2 linked regions of the Drosophila melanogaster genome follow. The protein of the gene in region 1 interacts with the protein of each later gene in a pairwise test. Each region holds a gene or a part of one and is shown on either strand. Other genes may lie near its edges.

Evidence for each region. Proteins that work in one complex are often made in the same cells at the same time.
Region 2: the proteins of nau (region 1) and Hand interact in a two-hybrid assay, tested with the Drosophila melanogaster proteins (one study listed by BioGRID).

What each region holds. Positions count from the first base shown.
Region 1 is NT_033777.3:23,716,728-23,720,486, forward strand, and holds the start of nau (nautilus), read right to left. Parts: upstream 1,631-3,759; 5' UTR 1,230-1,630; coding exon 702-1,229; intron 1-701. Other genes in the region: CG10232 (uncharacterized protein), read right to left, coding at 2,749-3,148, 3,213-3,759. UniProt on the Drosophila melanogaster protein: May play an important role in the early development of muscle.
Region 2 is NT_033779.5:10,293,481-10,297,239, reverse strand, and holds the start of Hand (hand), read left to right. Parts: upstream 1-1,854; 5' UTR 1,855-1,940; coding exon 1,941-2,031; intron 2,032-2,180; coding exon 2,181-2,377; intron 2,378-2,610; coding exon 2,611-2,766; intron 2,767-3,759. Other genes in the region: CYLD (cylindromatosis), read left to right, coding at 1-24, 84-302, 381-615, 675-816, 872-1,068, 1,130-1,323.

The DNA of each region.
Region 1 (3,759 bases):
TAAGTGGCTCTTTAATAAAACATATTTTAAATTAAATAGAGCATAAAATTTTCAACAATTAAGCCGTTCGCCCGTCGTCTGTCTCTTTATGACAGCCCCCCATCACCATACCCCTTCTAACCGGAGCTCCCACGATTTTCCGCCTTTCACTAATGTCTCTATGTGGAGCTATAAATACGTGTGGTTCATCCAAAACTTTTACGACCGTCGAACTCATAAATGCCGCTGTTTAACTCTTGGTCTTGGCAAATGTTTATGTTTTACGCATGTTGGGTGGTTTCCCTTTCTGCGCGTTATGTCAATGGATCCGATCCTCCCTGGTGGCGATGTGTTAATTTGTGGGGTGCTAGCCGAGCTAATGAAATTACTACAAAGTTGCAGTCCTTAAACGCAGGGGACTTGCGAACTGTGGCGTAATCTATTTTTAAGATCGACCGAGGATTAATAAGCCTGCTGATGGAAAAGGACTCTTGAACAGAGTTCTGAGTGGTATGCCTATATTCAAGTCCCCATAAGCAGTTTTAAGTTATTATTATAATAATGAATTGAATGAATCAAAAATCTACTTTTAAAGTGAACCATTCTTTTAATGAATGATTGAAAGATGAAAGTGCTGTATTTGTATCAGTAGTTATTGCACAATATGTTTTTAATATTTGATAAATCTGAAAATGTGTGTAATGTGAGCATGGGATGCCTACCTTTCGCAGTCTCCGGCGTTCCCTCATAGTGGCCGCTTTCCGACGGTCCACGGTGACGCTCTTCTTTTTGCACGCCTTGCAGGCCCAGGTGAGGCATGGTCTGGAGGATTGGGCGGAGGAGCAGACGAGGGGCGCCAGGACGTGCTCCTCGGAGCTGAGACTGCTGTTCTCGTCATCGTAGTCGGTGGTGTAGATGGGCGACGGTGTCATATTCATGCCCAATGGCTTGTCCAGCTCAACCGGATTATGATTCGCATGACTGTAGTTGCAAGACGAACCCGATCCGTTGGCTGAGATGGAAGCCGCTCCACCATTTCCCGCACTCGCATCACCGACGGCATTGAAGCGGCTAAAGAAATTCTGCAGTGTCTGGTGTGGATTCTGGCCGGGATGGGCTATCGGATTCTGTTGGCTATAGGCGCTAAATCCGTATCCAGGATGTGTCGGCTGACCATAGCCATTGTGGTACTCCTGCTTGATGGTTTGAGCCGCAGGCATTTCACTGCTGCCACTATTATACTTGGTCATTTTTCACTTCACTACGATTTTGTTATATTTTACAAAACAATTTTGGTAGTTCAACAAGTTGCTGAATTTAATTGCTGATACTAATTACGATGGCACAGTTAATTTAGTCAGTTGATTATTACCATTTTTAACGTGGTTTAAGCTCTTTTTCTAGGTATGCTAGGTCATTAACACAAATTTATGAGTTATGGTTACACACAAGTTTTAGGCTGTGGTTTCTATTTAATTTAATTTGTTATAGTTTCACTTTCGGGATTTTTAAAATAGAACCTTAATTAGTTGGTTACACTTTAATGATGCTTTGTAAAAACCTCCGACATTTTCAAAAATATTTTTCGACTTCGATTTGCGGACCGTACGCGAGTGTGTGTACCGCCTTCCGTCGCAATCGCAACACATTTGGTGACAATATCCAAGAATCCAAGATATCGTGGGCCCCCAGATGTGCTCGCGATCCTCTCGGAGTGCGGATGCTGCTGCGTTTTGAGTGGCTGAGTGGCTCTCGAGTGGTTCCTATTTTTAGAGGCGCCCCGCCATTAGACGACATTGGCGGTTCTCTAAGGCAGAAGGACGCTGCCGCAGGCCACGCCCCTCCCCTTTTTTTTTTAATTTTCGTGAGTTTTCAACGCGATTTTCCGCTCAATGTGAAGCGTGTTTGTGAAAGGCTTAGTTCAAATCAAATAAATTGAATTTTACCTGGCCAGCGATTAGTGTGGGTTGGTGGGGGAGGTGGTGGCATAAATTAGCTTTCGGGGAGCTCAACAATTCGTTAATGTGACACATTTAGTGGAAAATCCGGCCCCCCGTCCACAGATCCCATCAATGGCAGCCACTTTTCTATTGAGTTATAGTTGCAACGGCCGAGAAAAAAGCGAGAAATTGAGCAAAAAAATAAATAAAATAGGAGAGGCCGAAATAAAAATAGTCAAAGAATTGTGTTTATTTATCGCTGCTCAGGCACAATATATATCTTTGGAAATCACCTTTAAATCTTCCCCAGCGATATTGTAAATCTTTTGTCTTAGGACCGTGGTTTGCTCGAGCACTTTCCATCTTCATTTTTCCACTTTTCCCTTCTCGTCTTTTTCCATTTCGTATTTTCTCCTCACATTTTCCATCTTGCCGTACTTTGATGGATGCTTTGTTTTGATTCGGTCTGATGGTATTTTGGTGGCAAAGACTATTTGTTGTGCCACACGATAATCCCAATTGTAAATTTAATCATTATCGGCCTTTGTTTTCGGGCAGTGTACTGTCAACGCACAAATGTAACTCAGAAAAGAACGTTTAAAAAATCAAAATCATTAAGTAAATTCGATTTATTGTGTTATTAATTTAATCAAATAAATAAAATACATATTAAAACTCATTCTTATGTGCATATTTGATTTTACTGGCTACTTGATTGAATTTTCCATAATTCCATAATCCACAAAAAAAACACATTCACTCATACAAACAAAATGCATTCACATATTAACAAACACCATACACTAGTCGAGATTCCTTAGCAAGAAAGTTATGGCTTCAAATTTGCCTTTATCCATGAGAAAAATGCTCCAGTCTTTGTGTAAACACCTGGTTTTCTATCTCCGCAATTCTCACTTCCATATGAAACGATACCGGCCAGATATACGATATCCTGGTAATCATTATTAAGGGTTAACATCAAGGGACCTCCGGAATCACCCTCACAGGAGTCTTCTCCTCGAATGCCAGAAGCACAGATTTGTGATTCGTTGCGGAAGAACGATATCTTGTCTTGGCAATAATATCTGTTTTCATAAACGGTGTTATGCAACAACACCTGACTATATTCTCTGTTTTTCGTGTAGCCCCAACCGGCGATTTGCAATGGGTGATTATGCAAGGGGATGGGATCTTTCGGCACACAAATCGGTAGAATTTCGTGGGTATATCTAAGGAAATAAAAACTTTGGTTCATAATAGTCAGAAAATGATGCCTTATATTGCAATACTCACCGAACTGGCGTTTGAAGACGCACCAAGGCGATATCGCTTTCAAACCTTGAGGTGTTGAAATATTGTTCGTGGACATTGAAATACTCGATGCCGATCTCTACAAAGGGGGCAGCGCAGTTTCCTGTAAAGTCGCAATCCGGATTGGTGGTAATATCATGCTCGCCCAGCCGCACTCTCCTGAGCACCAAATCTGTGTTCACCATTTTATCCTTGACCACACAGTGTGCAGCGGTGAGGACGTAGCGTTTGTTAATCAGGGAGCCACTACAGTTGTTGGTCATGGTCGATAGTCTGCGATTCTCGTAGATAAGCATGGCCATCCAAGGATATTCATTTGGCCTCGCCGCTGTGCCATATGCCATTCGATAAAGAGGCGGAGCTTGTCCACAGGACGTTGGTAGAACGTTACCTGGTTCCGGGCAGCAGATGTAGTGGCGCTTATCCGAATCTATTCTTCTGGTATCGATGGCACACTGTCTGTTATCCATTAAATTGGCCCCATCTTCCATCGTAGTATTATGGATACGAAGACACTTGTCCAATCTTA
Region 2 (3,759 bases), on another chromosome or scaffold:
CTGTACAGACGTCCGGGCCCACAAGTAAGTTATTCGATTTGTCTGCCCAGCTCACCAATAACAAATTATTTTATTTTCAACAGGATATTCGAAATTACAGTGAGGTTCAAAAGGTTCTGCGCGATGAGATCGTCAATCCATTGCGAAAAAACGTTTTCGTTCGATCCGATCGTGTGATGAAACTGCGCGAGCTCCTAGATCAGCTAAGTTCGGTCAGCGGTCTCACCTGCGAGGAAAAGGATCCTGAAGAGTTCCTAAATAGTTTGCTCTCACAAATAATGCGAGTTGAACCGTTTCTAAAGGTGCTTATTGTACTCATTATTGCATAGATTTTTATACTAAATAATTTACATGTTTTTTTTTTTTTTTTTTTTTTGTAGCTAAGCTCGGGGCAAGATTCTTATTTTTACCAACTCTTTGTGGAGAAGGATGAGAAGTTAACATTACCGAGTGTGCAACAATTGTTTGAGCAAAGCTTTCACTCATCGGATATAAAACTAAAGGAGGTTCCTTCTTGTTTCATCATTCAAATGCCTCGTTTCGGAAAGAACTACAAGATGTATCCAAGGATATTGCCATCGCAGGTTCTTGATGTCACAGACATAATTGAAAATTGTAGGTGTTCAACAATATAACAATTTGCATTTCGAATCTTAACAAAATTCAACTTGCAGCTCCTCGACAGTGCTCACTTTGTGGCAAACTAGCTGAATACGAGTGCCGGGATTGCTTTGGCAGCTTGCAGGCTGGATCAGGACTGGAATGCACCGCCTTTTGTCCAAAATGTCTCAAGACATTTCACAGTCACATCAAAAGGTCAGCTATCTTCATAGATAAATGAATGAAAACCAATTAAAAACCTATCTTTCAGAACGAATCATGTGTCGAAGAAGATTTATAGTCCGAAGGAATTTAAAATCATGGCCGAGCACATGGTTGTCCCGCGATTGTACATGGAGTTATTTGCAGTCGTTTGCATAGAAACATCTCACTACGTGGCATTTGTCAAGTCTGGATCCGGACCAGATGCTCCATGGTGTTTCTTCGATTCAATGGCTGATCGAAAAGGCAAGCAAAATCTTAGTTTTAACCTAACAAGTTTCTTATACTTACGCAAATGTTATTTCAGGCGAACAGAATGGATACAATATACCTGAAATTACGTGTGTTCCAGAATTAACACAGTGGCTCTCGGAAGAAGGCGCACGATCTATAAATGAAACTTCAACGAACGATAAAGTATTACCTGAACACGCCAAGCGTATTTTTTGCGATGCCTATATGTGTCTGTACCAAAGCACAGATATAATGATGTACCATTAGAGCAAATTTATCAATAAATTAAATGAATGCAATAAAATTTTTGTAAAAATCACATGTGAAATGGATTTTGTGCCTATTAATGGTTATTGGTTTGTTGAAAAATATGTTTTATGATATTAATATGGGTAGGCTTTACATATATAACAGGAAAAAATAAAGATAGGTGGTTTTCTATAACTAATATACCAAGTAGCTTATATTTTTTTTACAAAAAGTTTGTAACAATTAGGAAGTGCTTTTTGTTAGGAGAAGTTTTCAAGGTGACTCCAGAAACAGGACTGAACCATCTAGAGAACTACGGATCACTAGACCATGAAAGGCAGTTCATATTCCGGATATATATGGATGTATGTATACACGGGAGTACATACATACATATAAATCTTGAAGTGCCCACCATTGGTCGACGCAAAACGTCGGCGATTGCGATTGGTGGATTTGGAGGGAGGATATCCAGATGTTGTTCACTCGACGGCGCACATTCACTAAACAAGTGAAAAAGTTTTTCAGTTACTTGCCAGACATCAAAGACGAGTTTTACGTGCGACGCACTATCTGCGAAAATGTCGATCTTAAGCCGCGAATTTGATTTGAATTTAATTACGTTAAATTAGAAAATGTTTAAGAATTCCGTTGCCTTGACGTGCGAATACTCAACCATGTATTATAACTCAATTTATAATACTTCCAACATGTTCGACATGAAACGTAAATGTTTAAATCATTCTTCTTACTTCGCTGTTATTTAAATAAAATTGGGACAGTGATTTGTGGTACCAATTCCAGTACAAAAGCGACTTTTATTTTATATTTTCGTGTGTATGGAAAATAATGTATATATTTTCCAAATATTTCAGACTCCGAAAGTCAAGTTCAGCAACAAATATATAACACAAGTCACCTAGGTTATGTGCCAACTTCGAATACTCGGATTGTTAAGAAACGTAATACAGCTAACAAAAAGGAGAGAAGGCGAACCCAAAGTATAAACAATGCGTTTTCCTATCTGCGAGAAAAGATTCCCAACGTTCCTACAGATACTAAATTATCAAAGGTAACTTCACCGACGGATAGATAATCTTGAATTTAATACTTAAATACACCAATAAGCACATGAAGGTTGGATTTTAATGTTTCCTACTTAAGTCAATCTTAACTATATTCTACTTTTACTTTGTTTAAGAATTAAGATAAAATAGCCAGCGAAAAATATATTTTATAATAACTTATTCAATTATTTATAAATTTGAAGTTTGTTTGTGTCCGTTTGCTTGGTTTACTTGACAGATTAAAACATTGAAGTTGGCCATATTGTACATAAACTATTTAGTTAATGTTCTTGATGGAGATCTGGATCCAAAAGGCGGATTTCGAGCCGAACTTAAGCCGGTCAGTCGAAAGATCTGTAGCGAAAAGAAGCACTGTTTGAAATCAGAGATTCAAGTAAGAGAGTAATTTACTTTGTCATGCTTTCAATAACAAACCAATCACTACATATATTTAAATTGATCGCTTTGAATTTTGGATTTAAGTTTATCCGGCGGAATAACAATTCATACATATTTTTGCCGCTTTTCATGCATTCAAACAAAAAAATTATTAAAAATCTTTTTTGTTTTTACTGTAGGTAAATGAGTTAAGATACCATAACCTAATTGATATTTCATTCAAAAAACATATTGGCTTGCTGATTTTTGTTGTACAAAGATATAGATAAAGACAATGTTCCCGCTATAAGGGGCGTATTGTTTGTTTTTTTGCATTGATATATAGTTATAGTTCTACTATTCTATTTGGCTTTTTCATTTCGTTGAGATCTCTGCTCGGAATTTGTATTTTTATGGTACACAAGATATTTTCTCCCCCTTTTTCTGCACTGGGGCGTAGATATCTCAATTGTTTGTTTATTATAAGAAACAAAAGCACTTGACTTTATAAAAGAGCATTTTACGTTTTTCCCTCAAAGAAATAGGCGTAATTCCATTCCCCTTGTAATCCGCAGATAAAAACTCGATTGATTGTAGATATATTCCTAATGGAAGTGCGGTGCCATGTTTAGCTTCAAAAATCGGGTTTCGAAATATATGTACACAGGTCCAGTGACCAGTTGTAAGTTGTACTTTATTGTGCAATTTCGGAAGTGATAAACCGCAGACGCCTGCATCCGTAATTGAGAATCCATGCTAACCAACCGCCTCCTTCATAAAATGGGGGTGAAATAATGGCTGGGAACACTTATTTAATAGGGCAATCTGGTTTTAGATATGAACACAAGAGACAAGTGTCTAAGTGGTGCTTCAGAAACATTTTAATCCATTAGGGGTTTGATTAATTAAGTGCCTTTTTGGAAATATTGAAGTTTTGAAGTATTCTTTTTTATTAAAATTTTTTGAACCTATAAGCTTTGCTTAAGTATTTCATAAAGATAGTTTTTAT